4 linked regions of the Arabidopsis thaliana genome follow. The protein of the gene in region 2 purifies or fractionates together with the protein of the main gene of each other region. This does not show direct contact. Each region holds a gene or a part of one and is shown on either strand. Other genes may lie near its edges.

What was found.
Region 1: the proteins of AT3G46210 (region 2) and RRP4 fractionate together in Arabidopsis thaliana (co-fractionation; one large-scale study listed by BioGRID). This does not show direct contact.
Region 3: the proteins of AT3G46210 (region 2) and AT2G25355 fractionate together in Arabidopsis thaliana (co-fractionation; one large-scale study listed by BioGRID). This does not show direct contact.
Region 4: the proteins of AT3G46210 (region 2) and SMU1 fractionate together in Arabidopsis thaliana (co-fractionation; one large-scale study listed by BioGRID). This does not show direct contact.

The regions. Positions count from the first base shown.
Region 1 is NC_003070.9:822,629-826,902, forward strand, and holds RRP4 (ribosomal RNA processing 4), read left to right. Parts: upstream 1-1,888; 5' UTR 1,889-2,024; coding exon 2,025-2,185; intron 2,186-2,262; coding exon 2,263-2,364; intron 2,365-2,473; coding exon 2,474-2,519; intron 2,520-2,624; coding exon 2,625-2,714; intron 2,715-2,793; coding exon 2,794-2,859; intron 2,860-2,958; coding exon 2,959-3,027; intron 3,028-3,116; coding exon 3,117-3,551; 3' UTR 3,552-3,771; downstream 3,772-4,274. Other genes in the region: AT1G03350 (BSD domain-containing protein), read right to left, coding at 206-1,618. UniProt on the Arabidopsis thaliana protein: Non-catalytic component of the RNA exosome complex which has 3'->5' exoribonuclease activity and participates in a multitude of cellular RNA processing, maturation and degradation events.
Region 2 is NC_003074.8:16,976,085-16,980,727, forward strand, and holds AT3G46210 (Ribosomal protein S5 domain 2-like superfamily protein), read right to left. Parts: upstream 2,833-4,643; 5' UTR 2,781-2,832; exon of another isoform or gene 2,500-2,780; intron 2,419-2,499; exon of another isoform or gene 2,416-2,418; 5' UTR 2,406-2,415; coding exon 2,300-2,405; intron 2,212-2,299; coding exon 2,098-2,211; intron 1,982-2,097; coding exon 1,881-1,981; intron 1,798-1,880; coding exon 1,777-1,797; intron 1,553-1,776; coding exon 1,480-1,552; intron 1,407-1,479; coding exon 1,339-1,406; intron 1,260-1,338; coding exon 1,127-1,259; intron 980-1,126; coding exon 876-979; 3' UTR 547-875; downstream 1-546. Other genes in the region: AT3G46220 (E3 UFM1-protein ligase-like protein), read left to right, coding at 3,090-3,263, 3,454-3,765, 3,857-4,123, 4,286-4,333, 4,507-4,572. UniProt on the Arabidopsis thaliana protein: Probable component of the exosome 3'->5' exoribonuclease complex, a complex that degrades inherently unstable mRNAs containing AU-rich elements (AREs) within their 3'-untranslated regions.
Region 3 is NC_003071.7:10,799,156-10,804,222, forward strand, and holds AT2G25355 (PNAS-3-like protein), read left to right. Parts: upstream 1-1,935; 5' UTR 1,936-2,235; coding exon 2,236-2,286; intron 2,287-2,378; coding exon 2,379-2,453; intron 2,454-2,694; coding exon 2,695-2,781; intron 2,782-2,977; coding exon 2,978-3,034; intron 3,035-3,378; coding exon 3,379-3,471; intron 3,472-3,782; coding exon 3,783-3,855; intron 3,856-3,974; coding exon 3,975-4,050; intron 4,051-4,139; coding exon 4,140-4,230; intron 4,231-4,313; coding exon 4,314-4,436; 3' UTR 4,437-4,567; downstream 4,568-5,067. Other genes in the region: AT2G25350 (Phox (PX) domain-containing protein), read left to right, coding at 1-433, 551-715, 836-1,078, 1,202-1,543.
Region 4 is NC_003070.9:27,723,174-27,730,539, forward strand, and holds SMU1 (transducin family protein / WD-40 repeat family protein), read left to right. Parts: upstream 1-1,817; 5' UTR 1,818-1,885; coding exon 1,886-1,911; intron 1,912-2,422; coding exon 2,423-2,633; intron 2,634-2,723; coding exon 2,724-2,876; intron 2,877-3,324; coding exon 3,325-3,373; intron 3,374-3,616; coding exon 3,617-3,700; intron 3,701-3,852; coding exon 3,853-3,956; intron 3,957-4,091; coding exon 4,092-4,178; intron 4,179-4,275; coding exon 4,276-4,329; intron 4,330-4,694; coding exon 4,695-4,790; intron 4,791-4,953; coding exon 4,954-5,078; intron 5,079-5,324; coding exon 5,325-5,451; intron 5,452-5,549; coding exon 5,550-5,609; intron 5,610-5,707; coding exon 5,708-5,815; intron 5,816-5,909; coding exon 5,910-6,010; intron 6,011-6,152; coding exon 6,153-6,204; intron 6,205-6,450; coding exon 6,451-6,549; 3' UTR 6,550-6,858; downstream 6,859-7,366. Other genes in the region: AT1G73710 (Pentatricopeptide repeat (PPR) superfamily protein), read left to right, coding at 1-992; EIL3 (ETHYLENE-INSENSITIVE3-like 3), read right to left, coding at 7,261-7,366. UniProt on the Arabidopsis thaliana protein: Auxiliary spliceosomal protein involved in splicing of specific pre-mRNAs that affect multiple aspects of development. Required for proper accumulation of SMU2.

The sequences.
Region 1 (4,274 bases), on a different chromosome or scaffold from region 2:
AGAATGACTATCGCAAGATGAATATATTCAAACTTTCCTCAAACCACCTTCTCAAGTAAAATTTAAAAACATATTTTCAAATCAATGTAAAATAGAAACGTTGAAGAGAAAAACAACTGAAGAATGGGGGCAAAGCGCCAGAAACTTGTAAAAACAAGTAAAAGGATTGGCAAAAGTAAGAAAGCACACCACTTTAAAACTAACATTAAGCTTTGGATGATGATGATTCTTCTTCGTCATCTTCATCAATGTCCCAACTTAAATCTTCATCTTCCTCTGCAGCACTCAGACGTTTACGCAGCTCAGCTCTGTTTGGACTACCACCAGACCGACTCGTTTCCTTACCATCTATGCTACTCATATCCTCGATCTCGTCCCATCCCAAATCCTCTTCAGATGGTTGTTGAGTTGATGAAGAAGCAGCCACATCTGGTTTAGCTGAGTCTTGGGATGGAGCAGCCTCATCAGATTTTGGTTTGACAGAATCTTGGATTGGAGCCTCATCAGATGTTGGTTTGACAGAATCTTGGATTGGAGCCTCATCAGACGCAGGAGGAGCAGCATCAACAAATGATTTTTCTTCTGGAACTTCCTCACTATCAGTCTCCTTCTTTTCCTCAGAATCTTTATCTGTCTTCAAACCAACATTGCTCACTTCAGTCACTGAATCTGCACTTGTCACTTCATCTTGCGTGCTCACTTTAGCCACTGAATATGTACTTTCCACTTCATCTTTCACAGTTTCACTCACATCTCCACCACCCATACCATCATTCCCTTCAAGTTTCAACCTTGAAACATCTTTGGTAGCTTCAACAACTTTCTCGCTGCTCTCCTCTTCATCATCAATATCCCAGCTCAATTCTTCTTCATCATCCAGAGAGATGGCTCGTTTCACAAGATTAGCCCTTAAATCCTCAGCTTGCTTGAGCTTGTTAACCCTATAGAAATACCTAAACCAGAAGGTCTCGTGATCAACCATACTCGGAACGACCCTTTTATACACTCCTTTCATATCACCATTTTCCTCCAACAATTTCTCCATCTCCTCAGCTTTTCCATCCAGAGAAAACGCAGATTCCCACTTTTTGTAATCATCTGAATCCTCAGGCTCTTCACAGTAAGTGTTGAGATCTCCTTGAACAGCACGAATCTGAGCATCGAAACGACTATATGGTTTCGAACTGAAGCTATCACGACGACCAAAACTCTGACTACTATTGTTATCAGAAGAATCAGATTCATTACCAGCGGCTAAAATCGCTTCCTTACCTTGAGCAATAATCTCAGCCGTACCTTTTAGCACCGTGTTCCCAAGCTCATCAATCGCATGTCCCACCGTACCAAGCGATCCCTGAGCCACCTCGATCTCTTTCTTCAAACCTGTGCCAAATTCTTCGAGATCTCGTCGGTAGGTTTCAATCACGGATTCGGATCTGGTGGCTAGAGTTTTCATCAGACCACCGAAGCTCCATCCACCGTCGTCGTTAGATTCAGATTGCTCTGGATGTTCTTGCTCTGGATGTTCATGCTCTTCGCTGTGTTTCGGTGAATCGGATTCGGATTCGGTTTCTGGAGGATCTAGGTCTTCCGTGAAGACGGATTTGAAGAAATTCATAGCGTAAAGCTCAGATCTTACCAATCGGTACTCTCAGATAATTTGTTTGATCCGTGAAAGAATCAATTTGAAGAGTGAAGGATTCGAATTAGCGTCAGAAATAGGAAGATCACAAAAGACTTGAAGCTTGTCGCTGCAGAGACGTCTAATTTTTTTCCCATTTTTTTAATGAAGATAAATAATACTTTATTTGGCGTCAATTATCAGATTAATGGGCCAGAAGTTTTATAAATGGGCCAGAAGTTGGATATGTTAGTCCAACAAATAACACAAAACCCTAGAATTCATTCAAGGGAACTAACGTCAAGGTTTTTGCTCTTCTTCTCTCCCAAGTCCCAAACTCGTTTTGCATCGCCATTGTTGTGTTGCTGGAGCTAAATAGAGAGAAAGAGAGAGAGTGTCTGTGATGGTGATGAGAAAGCTACAGTTACCGTTGAGCCAGACGCAGAAGGTTAGGTTTGAGAGAGCAATCGAGCGGCTTCAATCACTGTCGTCGTCGGCTAACTCTGACGCTTCTGTTATCGTCACCGACTCTATTCCCGTCAACCATGACGATGCCTTCCTCAAGTAATTTCATCTCATTCTCCCTTCTGGATTGAAATTTTTGTCAAATTGCGTTTTCACGATTGGTTTTTTCATTAAAGGGGACATGGAACTTCCGAGGTCGATGGTGAGTTGCTCGCGACGGTCTGTGGAGTAGTGGAGCGTGTGGATAAGCTTGTCTATGTACGCACCTTGCGAGCCAGGTCTGTGATTGATCTTTGAATTTGTTTAGTTTCCCAGAAAATGTGAATAGAATGGACTCTCTACTCTGAGATTAAGTAGAACTGATGGTTTTGATGATCTACGTTTTAGGTACAAGCCTGAAGTTGGGGATATTGTGGTAGGCCGTGTCATTGAGGTAGATTTTTGTTTTGGTGTTTGGATTTTTGAAATCGGATTGAGTGAGTAACATAAAGGTTTCAATCACATTGCACAGTTACTGGATTGATCTTTACTTATTCAGGTTGCTCAAAAACGTTGGAGAGTGGAGCTCAACTTCAATCAGGATGGAGTACTGATGCTTTCTTCCATGAACATGCCTGATGGTATTCAGGTACAGTTTGATTCTTGATATTTTGCCATTTGGATGATTGCTTTTGGCTTCAATGATATAAGTTTATTGTTGTTGCCAGAGGCGAAGAACCTCTGTGGATGAACTCAATATGCGGAATATCTTTGTAGAGCATGATGTCGTATGTGTAAGTCCTGTGATTAGTAATGTTCCAATCTTTACATATCTTAACAGTTACGTCAACCTGACTAAAAGGGTTCCCTCTTTGGTTTGTTCAAACTCTTAGGCTGAAGTACGCAACTTTCAGCATGATGGTAGCTTGCAGTTACAAGCCAGAAGTCAGAAGTATGGCAAGGTTGGTTCTCATTTGGTCACATGCTCATGTAGTTATACCTTTCGCTAGTCTCTTCCTCTGAACATTGATTAATCCATGAATCGCTACAGCTCGAGAAGGGACAACTTCTGAAGGTCGATCCTTACTTGGTTAAGAGAAGCAAACATCACTTTCATTACGTAGAAAGTCTTGGGATTGATTTGATTATTGGCTGCAATGGTTTCATATGGGTTGGAGAACATGTCGAAGTGAGAGATCCTATGGCAATAGATGATCAGAAAGATGAGGAAATGATCTCATCCTCCTCCACAGGAAAAGAGCAAAGCCATATTCCACTCGAGACTCGACAAACCATATGCAGAATCGGGAATGCGATACGTGTCTTGTCTAATCTAGGCTTCACCGTGACACTAGAAGTAATCATGGAGACTGTTAACCTCAGTAACTCAAAGAATATTGACATACATGATATGCTTGGATCAGAGTTTCACGTTGTGGTAGCAGAGAATGAAGCTGAAAGAAGACGTACAAAGAGGAAAAAGTGAAAACTACCCCTTTTTGTCACTGATGTATCAGAGACTTGTAACGTGTATTAGATCATTCGGTCTTGTTTGTTACTCAGCTTCTATTGAAAGTTCGAATTTTAATCTGATTGAGATATGTAGTATGATGGATGTGTTTGATACTATTAACTGTACATCAGATTAGATTAGTCGAGTTATGTCTTTTGGAGACGGCTTTCTTCTTTCATTCATGAATTTATCGGTTTCGACTTTTGTAGCTGAAATTCGTTTTGTGAAAGGATCTACAGTTGCAGAAACAACATAGAAAAGATTCGCTGCCCTTTTTAGCTCGGAGAAGGGATAATTGGGAAATGACTAAAATACCCTCATGAGAATCCAAGTAATAACAGCGATTACCAAACCTCTTCTCTCATTCACGAAACAGTGTTCTACGGCCAATTTCTCTCGCTCGCTCCACACTCCCAAAACAATATTCTTCTTCTTCGATTTCTCACTCTCTGTTTGTCGCTACCGATCTTATTTCCCGCTATTTTTGTTCCGGCGCCGTTCTCCTTAAAGTCGCTATTGTCTTCGTTGAAGGTCAGTTTACGGCCTTTTTTAAATCCATTTTGGTGTATTCGTGATTGTTTGTGGGTTGAATGATCGTGCGATTATTTGGGGTTTTTAATTAATTTCGATTCAGTAACGGTTCTGAATTGCATTGCGATTAAGCACTTAATCAGAAAGTAGTACGCTTTAGATTTG
Region 2 (4,643 bases):
ATAATATTAGTATATATGATACTAGTAAATACATATGACACTGAATATAATTTAAATATATCTATATATAGAAACAGAAAATAAATACAATTGAAAATATATCTCTATATAATTCGGATACCCACATGTAGTTCTGGAACACATGTGTTTTTCTGAGTTTTATCCACAAGTCCCAAAACTTTCGGAATTTTTGAATTTGAGTTTTTTATGGGCGGGCTCAATTTAGGTTCGGACTGGGCGGTTTTCTTTTATCCACGGCAACATTTCAGGACAGTATTATATCTCAACTATTCGATGAGTTTAGTTTGGTTCGGTTCGGTTCTTTTCACTTCAGTTCCAGTTCAGTTGTTTCGGTTCCGTAAATTTGTCCGGGCCTTCCTATGATTATTGAACCAGCTTTAATCCAATTTGCAACTATCAGGAGTAATGGAGTATTATTGATCAGAAAGGGGCCAATTTGTTTTCATTACTACTTTCCCCAATATTGTTGAAGCTTGTTGTGCTTATCGTTCATCTCATATGTTGGATAATTGAAATAAATAGCTCATCTGCTCTTGTTATTAGAAATTATACTAGATTTTCTAGTAAATTACAGTATAATCCATGAACATGTTCTTTATAATTGACTCGAATCTGATCCCCACGGGCTGAAAAATTGTCAAGACAAGTGATGAATCAATAGCTCTGACCATGGCTACCATTTGTATTAAAGATACGAGGTTCATCTGTTCACATATCTAATGATACTAGATAATAGGCCACTAGCTTTTGATTTTTGATTAGACACATAGACGACAAGGATTCTATCAAAGCTACAACAGGAGTAATATGAAACCGTTTCAAAATCTCATGCAAACCATTATGAATTTGTGCTTTTACCCAGCCTTGGATGAACTTTGTTGGAAGTTCTTTCTAAAAAATGCAGATAAACTAGCCGTAGCAGCACGGCCGTTCTCTACACACAGGAAATAATCGTCCACTGAAACAAAAAGGCAAGAATTCAGAATTATAGATGATGCAGTGATTGAGAGAAACAAGTTCTTTAAAACATGTCTTACACAAATGAAATGTATGAGCATAATACACCATAGTGAATTCTATTCAAGAAAGGAAAGTTGATCAGTACCTGACATTACTCCATGTGTAATTGATGTGATGATCCCATGCTCTACTGGCTCGCCTTCCGCTACTGATGACCCTTCCGGAAGAACAGAGAGAGTTGTATTTGGAAAGACTAAATAAGCAAAGGCCGTCATTTTCTGTCCATTGCAGTTTCAAGTAAGTATAACCAACACGCAAAAGAAAATATAACAATGGACAACAAGGCTTTTAAATAACCTTTTCTTCAAGCTTGTTTGGATCGAGTACGAGATATCCATTCTCAGCCAGGCAACAGCATATAGCAACTGAAAAAACAAAAAGCTGATGAAACAGTAAGAAGTAACACACAAAGTCAATTAGAGAAGAGTGTAAATGTACCAGCCAGATGCTTCATAGGGATTCCTGCATCGACAAGCGCTGCACATGCTGCATTTATCGCACATGGTAGAAGCTAAACAGAATTGAATCAAGGAAAAAGCAGCAAAAACTGTCTTCTAAAGTAATGCACCAATTATTCCACTAAAACATATTCACACTCCCAGCTCATGGGACTACAAACTTTCACTGCTAAAAACTCTAAAAATACTAAAACCAAGATTGCTTATACTGGATTATATGTGTTTGACACAGTATCAGTAAATGTTTACCAAAAGGCAAGGATCATAAAAAGGATACAGAACCATCATCATGCACAACCTACACAGGAATCAAAGAATGAAAAGTTCAGATACAACTCAAGTTGATAAATCGATATATACAACAATGAAATAGCTACTCACCTGAATTATCACTGAGGTGGTGGTATTTGGATTAACAGTCAAAACACAAATACTCTGTATCGTCCTTTTCAATATCATCTCATACTCCTTTTCAACTTTTCCTATCATTATGCAAAGTAAAAGTCAGTCAGAATCTAAAAACCAAGAATCACCTCTACCGCATACTCAAGCAACAAAACAACATCCAGACATGATTAAACTAAATGCATTTACGAACCAATCTGCCCGGATTTAGGCTTCCATATGACTTCAAAACAAGCCTTCTCAGCATTTTCGTTCTTTTTCGTTCCTGCTTTAGGTCCATAAACCGCAGCTAGAACTTTTGTATCCCCTGAAAATATAAACAAGAAGCATACCCATTAGAAAGTGCTGATATATGTAATCAAACAAACAAAAAACATGGAGATTAAAACAAGTACCTTGTGACCAACTAGCAGAGCCATGAGGACGATGAAGGATATTACGGGAACAAGCAAGAGGTCTCAGCTGATTTGGTGTTCTTCCATCTTCTCTATCAATCTCCATTGCTACAATACTTCTTCACACAAAAGGGTTTCACAAAGTAAGCATCTTTTGTCACAAAATCAAATTCTCAGATTCTATAACTGTGAATTGTTACCACTGAAAACAAAATTTGAACTGCTTCTAGCTCAACAGTAGGTGTATTTTAATGGTTCTGACCAACATCCGAGTAGTTTTTTTGTTAATTGAGACAAAAAAATCGTTCTTTCAATTCTACAATACTCGTTATCTAGCACATAAAAGACGATGTATGAACAAAAGGACACACGAATCAACACAGAGCTAGACTAAGAACCTAATTTTGAGGAAGCTAGAAGCAGAGACGATTCCGTATCAAACAAGAAGACTAACGAAAGAGAGAATACACAGCTACGGAACTGAAAGCTGGAAGAACAACTGAAACCACCAGAGGAGAGAAACTCGAAGAATTAGGGTTTATTTGTTTCAAAACCCTCAATTTCAAATCAATTAGAGTATACCGAAAACAAACCGGTTAATCCGGTTATTCAAACATTGGTTTAACTTTAACCAGTAAACTCAATTGAGGAAAGATACTTAATACGGTGTTTGAACATAATCAATCTTCCGGAGAAGAATTTGTGTATAACTGACGGAAAAAATCCGACGCATCGACGATATCAAATTTTGATCTGAGATTCAAATTCCGGTGATAACGCGAAGAGGAAGATGGATGATGAATTGTTGGAATTGCAGCGTCAGTTCGAGTTCGCTCAACAGGTGAAGTCAAGCGTGAGATTGTCGGATCGAAATGTTGTCGAATTGGTTCAGAAGCTTCAGGAGCTTGGCGTTATTGACTTCGATCTGCTTCATACCGTCACCGGAAAAGAATACATCACTCAGGTACTGATTCTATTTCGTTTCCGGTGTGAATTTAGACTCCAGAAGAATCATCACTGGGTTTCGCATAGAATTCTGGTATCATGATGTGAGTAATGTGTTAATGGAGTGAAAAATTGCTAACTCTTCTTGTTGCATGAGGAATTTAATCGGAAAAAATGAAGTTAAGTTGTTTGATCTTGATTTGTTTCAGGAGCAATTGAGGAATGAAATTACTCGTGAGATCAGTAAATTGGGACGTGTCTCTGTTATTGATCTGGCAGATACGATTGGGGTTGATTTGTATCATGTGGAGAAGCAAGCACAAGATGTGGTGTTGAATGATCCAGGGTTAATGTTAGTTCAGGGAGAAATAATATCACAAAGTTATTGGGATTCGATTGCAGAAGAAATTAATGAGAGGCTTCAAGAGTGTAGCCAAATTGCTGTGGCTGAACTTGCTGGTCAGTTACAGGTTGGCTCTGAGTTGGTGCAATCGGTTTTAGAGCCTCGACTTGGAACTTTGGTAATTGTGCTTCTCCTCTTGAGCTTTCCAGATTGTGTTTAAGTGAATGTGAACTTTTATATTTATGGATTTTTTTTTCAATCTTTTTTAGGTGAAAGCTAGGCTAGAAGGTGGACAGTTATATACACCTGCTTATGTAGAACGTGTGACCGCTATGGTTCGAGGTGCTTCCAGGGGTATATTTGTTCCTTCCAATTTGTCGGCATTGTGGGCACCATTGCAACAGTTGGTACAAGAAACGAATGGAGCCAGTGGAGTTGCTGTTGAGAATTCATTTTTCCAGTCTATATTTAACCGACTGTTGAAGGAAGAGGAGATGCTTGGATCACTACGTGCTGGAACCCATTGGACTCCTAGTGTATGTCATAAAATTCTTATCTTTTGGGTTTCTGCCACGAATGGATTTACCACTCTATTAATTTACGACAGTCTTCAAAATTTCATGAGTGCACTCTTGTCTATGCTTGATGTTTCCCATGTTTACCATTCATTAGAGTAACTTGTTTGATTTTGGTGGCAGGCTTTTGCAACTGCTCAAAAGGAATGCGTAGACTCTTCTTTTTCACAGGTTTGGTCATCATTTTATCTGAAATGTCTTTAGTCCGTTTATTTATCAGTTGGTTGTGGAAAAGACCTATATTTTGAACTTTATCAGACTGCAGTTTTAGCATGTTCTTTAAATTAATCTTTCTTTAAGAAATGGTGGATCAACGGATTTATGGTTGTTCTGTTTTCCTGCAGAATTCCTACATCTCCTATGAGAGCATGCAGAAGCTTGGGATTTCTCAAGCTGTGCAGTTCTTACAGGTATTGTATCATGTTAATTTAGCGTCATTTATCTGTAGTTTGTGAAATCTAAGTTATGGAATAATAGCCAG
Region 3 (5,067 bases), on a different chromosome or scaffold from region 2:
AGTCCATTTAGGATATGCCAATGATATCACAGAGACGAATTCGTACAATGGAAAAGCTTCTAAAGGTGTATTTCGAGCAAACAACGACTTACGGTGTCGCTCTGAATCAGAAACTAGTCACTCAGTGATGCATGATCGAAAGCTTTCTCTTGAGAGCGCTGACGGGGTTTCGTTACTAGCCGGTGAGACATCAACCTCTAGTATCTTGAGCTCCATTGTACATAGCCAGCTGGATGTTAATCATGATATATCTGTTGGTAACCTGGAGATACCGGGTAATGGACGAATAGTTCTCCCGCTGAAAATGCATAGTAAATTAAATAGGATTCTATTAACTATGAATGAGAGACTTCTCAATTCAAAAACAGACATGGAGGATCTTATAGCGAGACTAAATCAAGAGACAGCGGTGAAGGAATATCTGAACAGAAAGGTACATGATTGAAAATAATAGTACATCTGTTTTCAAGTTTGTTGGTAATGAAATCTGCGCTTCTTCCTTTACTCTTCATGCGAATGTCATATATGTAATCTTGGTTTTCCTGTTCAGGTTGATGATCTGGAAGTGGAACTTGAAACTACTAAACAGAGAAACAAAGAGAATTTGGAGCAAGCTTTGATGACCGAGAGACAGAGTGTTACCAAGATGCAGTGGGATATGGAAGAACTCAGGCAAAAAACTTTTGAGATGGAACTGAAGTTAAAGTCAAAAGAGGTATTGAAATTTGAAATAGTTCCATCTCAATCACATTCTTTCCACAATTAAGCAAGTTCACATCGAGCGAGTAATTTATATCTAGCAAAGTAACTTACTGACACCTGCAAACTAATACAGGATGGGAGTTCAGATTCTAAGACGTCAGGAAACTCAACAATCTCTGAGAGCCATGAGCTGTTACAAGAAATGGATGCCACAAAACAGCAACTGGAAGATCTTTCTAGACGGTATGTTGAACTGGAGGCAAAATCAAAGGCAGACATAAAAGTGCTTGTCAGAGAGGTCAAATCCCTGAGACGTTCACATATGGAAATGGAAAAGGAACTGACTCGATCGCTGACAGAGAAGTCTGACACTGAGGTAAATCTTAAGCTTGTAAATAAAAAGCATTATATTATTGCTTGCATCATCCGCTTGTGGTAAATGTATATGATCCTACAGAAAGAACATCAAAACATACTGAAACATGTTTAATTTTTTCAGAAACTCCTCCAACAGGAAAGGATAATAGTCGAGAACACGCTAGAAGCAAGAAGAAGGCTGTATAGTGACTGTGAAATTCTCCACGACAGGCTTAAAGTGAACAACACAAACTTGTCAATGGATGAGTCCAGTAACAACAGAGAAGACTTATCTGAAGTATCAAATGCCTTGCAAGATCAGATTGAGGTAAGCTATTGGTGCATCTCCTTTAATATCTGTAGCAAGAAAAATCGTATTCAAATGTTTACATTCGATAACCATGGCTCAAAATCGCCAAGCTGGATTCCTCGTTTTAAATTTGAAAGTGGCATATTTTCAGGCGCAACTGCTGTTAGGGTTTGATGAGACTGCTTCTGAGGATGAGCTGAGGAAGATAATGGCAGATATGTATGAGGACTGAGGAGAATATCAAATTGAGAAAACATTTGAATTCCGCAATGCAGGTTAAGAGCTCTGTGAAAGAGGAAAACGAAAAACGCAGAAGGTGAAGAGCTTATAGAATAGATATACCATGTACAGAGAAAAGTAGAGCAGAAAGTTGGTTAGTGACGTAAATCCCTTATTTTGAATATGCGAGTCAGATTCTTCTTTATGTAATTAATTGATGTATATGCACACACATGTCTACATCAGATCACCTAATCCATTGTAAAATTCGAAACCATCAGTGTCATTGTTTCTTGTTCACCAAAAACAACTACCATCCATCACTCATGGTCCACAGAGCAGTCGTTGAAAATCAGTGAAAGAAGTGTCATTTTGTCCCAAAAAAAAAGGAAGGACGAAGGAGACTTTTTAGTTGACCAAATCATATGGATCTACTAAACCGAAATAAACCACTCATAACCATTATAGTAAATTACTTGGTTCGGAGTTTTTAATTTCCGATCGTCTTCAACATCACCAAAGCAAAAAACTTTAGGGTTTTAGTGTTTTTTAGGGTTCTTCTTTCTCTCTACCTCTCAGTTCTGCTTTTGCTCTGTCTCCCTTCATTGGATAAATCAATTGGTGTTGTTAGCGAAGAAATAAGAAAGATGGGTACTGAAGTTTCTACCTCGCCGACAAGCCTCATTGATCAGACTGTTGTGCGTATTTTCTACTAAAACCTCTGCTTCTTTGATTATCGTTTTAGATTGGGATTACATTGAAAGATTAAGTTTTGTGAGATGGGTTTCAGGTTCCAGGTGATGTTGTTCTCGATTTATCAAACATGACTAACCAAACAATCAAACTCGGCAGTGGTCTCCGTCAGGTTTTTAACTTTCTCAAAATCACTTGTTCCAAATCTTCGATCATTTTTTTGGAGTTTGAAATTTGTTGTGTTGAGTGTATGAATGAATTAATGAATGTTTTGCTCATTATTAAACAAGTTATGTTGAATTTTGGATCTTGCATTGGCATTTGAGGAATAAACTTAATTTGGAATCTACAGTTTGCTTTTTGTTGGGCTTGCAAGGCTAGAAGATTGACATATGATTTTGAGGTTTTTTCAGGATAATGAGGTGATATCTGTTATGAGAGCTGGGAAGTTGAGGTACTCTAAGCCAAATAAGTATTGGGTGGAAAGTTCTCATAAAAGGGTGAGAACTAATTAGTTTCTTGCTGGTTGTATTTTGCAATAAATTGGTACCTTTTTCCTGATATCTCCTAGCTCTACTAGTTATTCGATTGTTCATCTGCGCTTAACTTGTCGAAAAAGTGGTGGTTTTGCTCTCTAGTTTGAAGAATTACTCCATGTTACTCGATTTTGACTCTGTTATTATGTTTTTTTTGCAGTATGTACCTCGTCCTGAGGATCATGTTCTTGGCATTGTGGTAGATTGTAAAGGAGAAGTAAGTACTCTAAAGACGATCCTTAAATTTTTGTTAGAGATCCTTTTCCCTTGGACCCTCTGAATCAAGCATTTTTTCTCTGTATACAGTTCATTTAATGCAAAAATCATGTATAAAGAATATTGATTTCGGTTGTGCTCTATCATTATCCAACTTCTATCATTGCTCAGCTTGTTTGTTAGTTACATGTATATGTTAATAAATACTTGAGATCATGGATAAAGAAAACGGCATAAGCCTTTATTTAGAGTGTTGCCCCTAGAGTTCTCAGCCAAAGTCATGTTGCATGTAACAAAGTAGATCATAATATTTTGAAAATCGTTTTGACACATGTTTCATTGCAGAACTATTGGATAGACATTAAAGGACCACAATTGGCTCTTTTGCCTGTGCTTGCATTTGAAGGAGCAAACAGAAGAAATTATCCCAAGTTTGAGGCAAGTACCTTCTGAATATACTTCTTCAATCTGAACCATCATCAAAATAGTCTCTAGCTGGTAACTGCATTCAGTTGTTTGAGATGTTAGTATTGCCATTACAGTGTATTGAGAATTTCCCTGGAAATTACAATGGCTTGTGTGTGATATTGAAAGGATCCAGTACTTCATTGGTTTGTTTATGAGCATAATAGGCACTTTTACTTCGTCTGGAGTTGAGCTCATCAACTCTATTTCAAGTGGATTCGCTGTATTAAGTGATAACATAGTGATCACGTGTTTTTGGGAGTTGTGACAATTTGTTGATACAGGTAAGCACTCTGCTTTATACTCGGGTTGTGAAGACAAACACAGGAATGAACCCGGAGCTGTCATGTGTAGACGGTTAGTCCATCCATTCTTTTTTCTCACAAAGTTTAAAAAGTTAAATCATTTCCTTGTTTCTCCGCATTAATTGTTTAGACTAAGCAATTGCTGACTAGAATTGTTGGACAATGTAATAGAAAGTGGAAAGGCTGCAGGATTTGGTCCCTTAAAAGATGGTTTCATGTTTGAAACTTCAACTGGTTTATCTAGAATGTGAGTTTCACTCTTATTCCTTTATTTTTCTTCTAGATGAAGTGGCCTCTTCTCGACTTTTTCTCACTCTTACACTTTGTTCTTATTAGGTTGTTGAGTTCACCAACTTGCCCGGTCCTTGAAGCTCTTGGAAAGAAACTCTCGTTTGAGACTGCGTTTGGCTTAAATGGGAGATGTTGGGTAAGAAAAACAGTGATTGCTTCTTAAGAATCCAAACAATGCAACTGGAAATCGCATGGTTAATATCTTCTGTCTGGTTTCAGGTGCATGCGGCTGCTCCTCGTATAGTGATTATCGTCGCCAATGCGTTGATGAATTCTGAAACTTTAAGCGGGACACAACAGAGAATCATGGTAGAGAAATTGCTGGAGAAAATTTCAGACTGAAAAGTGTGTTGTATGCTTAACAGTATCACTACTTTATAAAAGAAACGTTTTAATTCGCATCTCTTTTTTTAGTATGTAGACTACACTCATATGTTTCTCTTTGAGATAAAAACAAACCAAGATTAAAATTTAAAAGAAACAACATGATTCGTCTAACGATAAATTGATAAGTTTTGGGAGATGGATTAGAGGAACTAGGGTTTGGCAATATTAATTGAAAAATCAATCGATACCAATACAATAACAGTTACAAACATTACGGTGCCTTCATAGCAAAGCAATTAATAAGAATTTATTTGACAACTTCTCTCTTATATATAAGTCTTCAGATTTTCCTACTTGAAACCAAAACGACATGGAGAGACGCGATCAAGACTTGAGTTACTAAAAACGGCGACTAGATTCTACCATAACCGGAGATTTCCCAAACCCTAAAGGCGAGGGTTGTTCTACAGTCGTCCTATCCGACTCTGCTGTGAAGAAGTTTTCAGACAATGTCGTCTACAGATTGTACACCAAGGGTTTGGTGGTGGAAGGTAAGGAAAAGACCGTGAAGTCTGGATTAGAGTTGCGATTTGCGATGAGAAGGAGAATTTGTTGTATGAGATTAAAGAATCACTAAGCGACACTA
Region 4 (7,366 bases), on a different chromosome or scaffold from region 2:
TCAAGGCTTATAGCAAAGTGGGGTGTCTTGAAGAAGCTAGGAGAGTGTATGACAAAATGAAGGATTCAGAAGGTGGCCCAGATGTTGCTGCATCAAACAGCATGCTAAGTCTGTGTGCAGATCTTGGCATAGTTTCTGAAGCAGAATCCATTTTCAATGCTCTCAGAGAAAAAGGCACATGTGATGTTATTTCGTTTGCAACAATGATGTACTTGTACAAGGGCATGGGCATGCTCGACGAGGCTATTGAAGTGGCTGAAGAAATGAGAGAGTCTGGTCTACTAAGTGACTGCACTTCATTTAATCAGGTTATGGCTTGCTACGCTGCTGATGGGCAGTTAAGTGAATGCTGTGAACTGTTTCATGAGATGTTAGTTGAAAGAAAGCTCTTGCTGGATTGGGGAACATTTAAAACGCTCTTCACGCTCTTGAAGAAAGGTGGGGTGCCAAGTGAAGCTGTGTCGCAGCTACAAACCGCATACAATGAAGCTAAACCACTGGCAACACCAGCAATCACTGCAACTCTGTTCTCAGCCATGGGTTTGTATGCATATGCGCTGGAATCATGCCAAGAGCTCACAAGTGGTGAAATTCCTCGCGAGCATTTTGCATACAACGCAGTGATATACACTTATAGTGCATCAGGAGACATTGACATGGCCCTAAAGGCATACATGAGAATGCAGGAAAAAGGTCTAGAACCAGATATTGTCACGCAAGCCTACCTTGTTGGGATATACGGGAAAGCGGGAATGGTGGAAGGTGTGAAGAGGGTACATAGCCGGCTGACGTTTGGGGAGCTTGAACCAAGCCAATCGTTGTTTAAAGCAGTTAGAGATGCTTATGTGAGTGCAAACAGACAGGACTTGGCTGATGTGGTGAAGAAAGAGATGAGCATTGCTTTTGAAGCTGAAAGGGAGTGTAGTTCAAGATCTGGAGAAGAAGAAGAAGACGATGAAGAGGAAAATTCTGAAGAAGACGAGGCATTTTGAAGTGTAGCCACAGATGTATGTAAGAAATATTGTAGAATATAGGATTTAGTGGAAATGGACTGTACAGTTTCACAGAAGCCAAAGGAAATATGCATACTTAAGCCTCAGATTGATCTCTGGTAAAGAAATGTGTATCTTAAAACTGTTATAGAAAGAAAAAAAAAGGTTCCACAGGGTCAAATCTATAAAAGCGAGCACCTTTGGCTATGGTTTTGGTAGAGGAATTAGCATACGCTCCTTACAACAATAGATTGATTTGCATCATCGGGTTGGTCTTCTGTTGGTTTTGGTCTCTGGATTGAACATCTTTCTCCTGTCTTGCTTGCTCTTATTTTCAATTGTATAGCATCAAAGCCCATGAAAAGAGCCAGATGTTCTGGAATTGATTCCAATTTGGAATCTTGTCAGTTACTGGTGATGAATATCAACATGGAAGATATGAAACAGAGTAGCCAGCAAATTCCTTCCATTCGGAACAAAGAGTCTCTCAGCTTCAGTCAAAGTATATCAGTTATTGATCTCAAGAAAGTAATAGTAGTGAGCAATGAAGATGATGATGGAGCTCTAGAGTTGAAGAACAGAGGAGTGGAACGAACCAGTGGAGAACTCTTGAAGACCACAGTGTCAATGTGTTTATTGTTGTCTTTGTCTTTCTCTAAAAGTTGTAAAAAAAAAGGGTGTGAAGCTAAAGCTAAATGGTATGTAAGCAATGTTTTGCAATTTTAAATTTACAAAATAACACTCGGAGTTTCTGAAAGTTTAATTTTGACCCATAATATTTGATATTTGAGGCATTGTCCTGGAATTAAAACCAAATTGAAACTCCTTCGCGTGTGTTTTCTGCTGCATTTTTACCTCTTAGCGTCTCCGGCGAAAACCCACTACGACTGAGTATGGCGCTCGAAATCGAAGCTCGAGAGTAAGATTTCGCTTTCTCTTACAAACCCTAGTTTTCGTTTAGTGTCACTGATATGAATTGTGCTCCAAGAACCATCGTTTACGAATGCTCAGATGGATCTTAGGTTACATGTTTGGAGAAAACATCTTGAATGTTGGTTTTTTTATATCCTCCATACTAAAGTTGTGGTTTTTAAATCTACCCATAATTTGTTTTAGCTTGGTTCTTCTAAAGCTAATTGCTTCTGAATATCTAGATTCCTCCGTAGCTATTCTTCGTTTAAATTAACGTCGTATACGAAAATTTGAGGGAGATCATCGTTAGAGTGTTTTGATTCTTTGCAATGCGTCTCGAGGAAAAATCCAATTTGTATAAATTTGAACTCTTGTTAATTCTCGGCTTGGATTGAAACCATTGACAGTATTATTAGCCATTTTGTTAGTAATATTGGATGGAGAACGTTTTGATGCTATATGTCAGCTTTGTGTAGATCTTCATCCCTAATAGCTCTCTATTGTGTTGAATGTCTCAGTGTAATAAAGATTATGCTTCAGTTCTGCAAAGAAAATTCCTTGAATCAGACATTCCAGACATTACAAAGCGAGTGTCAGGTTTCCTTGAATACAGTAGACAGCGTCGAGACGTTTATTTCTGATATTAATAGTGGAAGATGGGACTCGGTACTACCTCAAGTTTCCCAGCTTAAACTTCCCAGGAATAAACTTGAAGACCTTTATGAACAGGTTTGTTCTTTTACTCTGTGAAATGTAGAAGTGTATAAAAATAGTGATTGTCATTGTAAGTTTTGTTTATTTTCGGGGTGATTTTTTCAGATTGTATTGGAGATGATAGAACTTCGAGAGTTGGACACTGCCCGAGCTATTTTGAGACAAACTCAGGTGATGGGTGTCATGAAGCAGGAGCAAGCAGAAAGATATTTGCGGATGGAGCATCTTCTAGTCAGAAGCTATTTTGATCCGCATGAGGTATGGAAACTATATTATGCTCGACTATTCAATATCACGTTGGGTGTTGCTTTTGTTGTTGCTGTGTCACCTAAGCATGGTTGTCCGCAACTGTTCAACAGTTCAAACAATGTTGCTATATCTGTTATCTCTTGCATTTTCTGTACTCTACTTGCGACTTTTGATATCTTTCAAAATCTTAAGTAGAACCAGTGAGCGGTTAAACATGAAGTTGTTTCTAGATGAGGGTCTCAAAGTATAACACATGCTCGTATTTCTGAGTACAAAAGTATCTTTACATGTTACTAGCTCTTTTACATGTTGATGGATTTGACTTTTCTATCTGATTAGTCTTTTGAGGTGTATTGTCTCCTAGTCATTGTTCATGTTATGCACAAAGAGTGGCGTTTTTCATGTAATCATTTCCTTGTGATAATCATGGTTTGCTAATTTTACCTTTGTTTCTAAGGCTTATGGAGACTCAACTAAAGAAAGAAAACGGGCACAGATTGCTCAAGGTTGGCCATTTCTTCTTTATTTTCTACAATAACAATTTTCTTCAGTTATTGTATGATTAATTACCTGAAGGAACCAAGTGATGTTCTGGAATACTCTCTCTATTGCATGCTTAAATATTATTATGACATGAAAAGAAGTTATGACGAGAACTTATTTCCTGTTTAATGGTTATAGAGTTTTTGTTTTCTCTTGCTCAGTATGTACTCAAGGTTCACTAATTGTTTGTTCTCCTACTCGATCAGCTGTGGCTGCCGAGGTTACCGTGGTACCACCTTCACGGTTAATGGCTTTGATAGGTCAGGCTTTAAAGTGGCAACAACATCAAGGTGATTATCTAAGGAACTGTGGATGCTACCAAACAGTTCTGTCAAACTTCATCTCGTTTTCTTTTACTTTTTTGCCTACATTACTAATATATCAATGGAATCAACATATGTACCCTCTCTCATTTCCTAAAATTTACATACACTTGTGTCAGGCCTGCTCCCTCCAGGAACACAGTTTGACCTCTTTCGTGGGACGGCAGCTATGAAGCAAGATGTAGAAGACACACATCCTAATGTTCTTACTCATACCATAAAGGTTCATATTCACACTTTAATAGCTTCTTTAGCTTAGTGGTCTATGATCTGTTGCTCATGATTATTTTGGGTTTTCTCATCAGTTGAGTTCTTGTCTAATTTTCATATCTTTTTCCTTGTGCTGGTGCTGGTGCAGTTTGGTAAAAAGAGTCATGCAGAATGCGCTAGATTCTCACCAGATGGACAGTTTCTTGCATCTTCTTCTGTGGATGGTTTTATCGAGGTGAGTTGATCCGGAATCTGTATGTATGATAATACAAGTTATTAGTCTTTAAAATAATTCTGTGACTAGGATTGCTCAGACTTGAAAAGCATTACAGGTATGGGATTACATAAGTGGAAAGCTCAAGAAGGATTTGCAATATCAAGCTGATGTAAGCTCTCATGTCTTCTTTTCATTTTTTAATTCTAACTCAGTACGGGGTCAGATGAGCTGTTAGTACATTTTAATCAAATGAAAATAATCCTTACTGCATCTGATTATTGAACGTGTGACAAGTCTGTGAGAATGATATGGTGGATTACTTTTTGCTTTTTATTCCAAAAATGTCGCCCATGAGATTCCTGAAGCACCAAGTATATGGTGGATTACTGTTATCTTTGAATTTTAATTTTTTCTCCAATGTAACTCCTAAAGCACCAAGTATCTCGTCTGAGACTTCCTGGTATACAAAATATCAGTTTTGGATAAAGAGTTCCCATTCCATCCTCTTTACTTACTATGATTAATTTCTGACAGGAATCTTTCATGATGCATGATGATCCTGTCCTCTGCATAGACTTTAGCAGAGATTCAGAGATGCTTGCATCTGGGTCACAAGATGGAAAGATTAAAGTAAGTTCCAGCTGCATATGTTTCCTTAAAGTTGAATTTTTTGTCTGAAGATAGACTATTGCGGCAGTTTGGTAGATATATCTTCTTCCTCTCATTGGTCCCATATGTATTCTGATTGAATACAAATAGAAAAACTAGACTTAGATGCATGTCACTTTTGCAGATCTGGCGTATAAGGACTGGTGTATGCATACGTCGTTTTGATGCACATTCCCAAGGAGTTACAAGTCTTTCCTTCTCTCGGGATGGAAGCCAATTACTGAGTACCTCCTTTGACCAAACTGCAAGGTTTTATTAGTTATATCTTTATTTTTTTATTTTGTACTTGCGATATGAATCTCGTCCTATCAAAAACTTGAGGCTTTATATTTCTTTGATGGTAGAATATTCTTTTAACTTTTGATTGCATCTTTTTTCTTCTTGTTTTTGTTAATATTTTCCTTTTCATTTGGTAGTTATGTAAGTTTATTGGTAGAGCTTCTAGTCGAATATAATATCAAATTCTTATTATATATTTTGCTTTATTTTATGCAGAATCCATGGTTTGAAATCTGGGAAATTGTTGAAAGAATTTCGTGGTCACACATCTTATGTAAATCATGCCATCTTTACAAGTGATGGAAGCCGTATTATCACTGCCTCCAGTGATTGTACAGTAAAGGTAAATTCTTCGGCTTTGGCTGTCAGCAGTATCATTGTTTCTCATTTGGACTCTCTGCCCCTTCTGCCGTGTAATAACAGTCTTGTTTCCTTGCACAGGTCTGGGATTCTAAGACGACAGATTGTCTACAAACATTCAAGCCGCCACCTCCGTTAAGGGTATCTTTTCTTATACAGATTTATGTACATCTTGTAATACTTTTTCTGATCTTCTGTGGCAAACTCTTTGGTTACCAAGTCTGAATTTTGAAATATAGGGAACTGATGCATCAGTCAACTCTATTCACTTGTTCCCCAAAAACACAGAACACATTGTTGTGTGCAACAAGACATCATCTATATACATTATGACACTCCAAGGACAGGTAAATTTCCAGCAACGGTCTCCTGCAAATCAGTGTCATTGTCATGCCAAAACTAAGATTGTTCACATGCTTCTATATTGGAATCCTTTTGCAGGTTGTGAAGAGTTTCTCATCCGGTAATAGGGAAGGAGGAGATTTTGTAGCAGCATGTGTATCTACAAAAGGAGATTGGATATACTGCATCGGCGAAGACAAGTAACACTCTAACCTCCTATATCTATCGTTTTATTTTTGGATAAGTTCCACGAGTTTGATTTCAAAGGATAATCTTATGGTTCCTTTCTTTTCGGGTTTCATCTTCTGCCTTTGATGTTCGTAATGGTGTTTGCACCTACAGGAAACTGTACTGCTTCAACTATCAATCTGGTGGACTTGAGCATTTCATGATGGTAAGTTTATATCCGTAACAGACATGCTCCAAAAGATTTTGGATGTTGGAAATTTGAAAGTTGCATTTGAGACAAACACATAACAGTAACTCACTAGAGTAATGAAGTCCCTTGTGTGTTATAATGTTTGATTCATCTGTTCTCCATTTTAGAGCTCAGATTATCATCCTCTCTCTCTCTCTCTTAATACTTATCTTAGTTGTCTTTTATTAGACCTGGTTTCTGAATAGTTTATGCTTATGACAGGTGCATGAGAAGGATGTGATTGGTATAACACACCACCCGCATAGAAACCTCCTTGCTACCTATAGTGAAGATTGCACTATGAAGTTATGGAAGCCCTGAGTTTTCTCATCATCAAGTCTTGTTTTCTGTATGATTAGTCTGTCTTTATTTGATTTGCACTCTTCTCGGGTTAGAACTAGTGTAATGTGAAACCATCTTTGCAAAGATCTCAGCCATTTTGGGAACACTACCCACAGACTCTAAAACCAGCATTTCAGATTTTAAGACCGTTTCACCTGGCCTTGAGCCTTGTAGTAGTTTATTTAACAACGTGTCTCCTTCCTCTTTGACCTTCCCAGCCAGTCAACTCCCATATACTTTTTAGTCTTAGGAAAGAATAAAGTCAAGCTCAAAAATATATAAAAAAAAATGAAAACTTGGGAAGTTCAAAAGAAACAAATAATGATTCTCTTAACTTGATGAATTACTCACAGGTAAATTTACAAATGATGATACGCTAACTGCTTTCCCTAGAGACCATTACAACGGGCAAAGCAGTTCTTCTGGCAACTTATTCAAAAGGAAAATTGTTTCTCTTAACAAATCTAAGAAAATATTATAAGAAAAAAAGAGGAAGAATATAAGATCAGAAGAAATGAAGAAGAGAAAGTAACTGTACTAGCCAGACTATTGCCATGTCCTTTTGAACCTACAAAAATAACAGTAAAACAAAATACATCAAATCTATAAACTAAGATCAAATATATGAGATGGTGTTGTGTAATAAAAAAAAAACTTACTATGTAATCTCCCAAAAAAAATGGCAAGACACTAAGCTCCAAACCATGAGAAATCATCACCAAAACCACCATAGTCAAAGTCCAAGTCAGTCAATGGAGACAGAATGCCACTCTGATACTGAGGCAACTCACTCCCT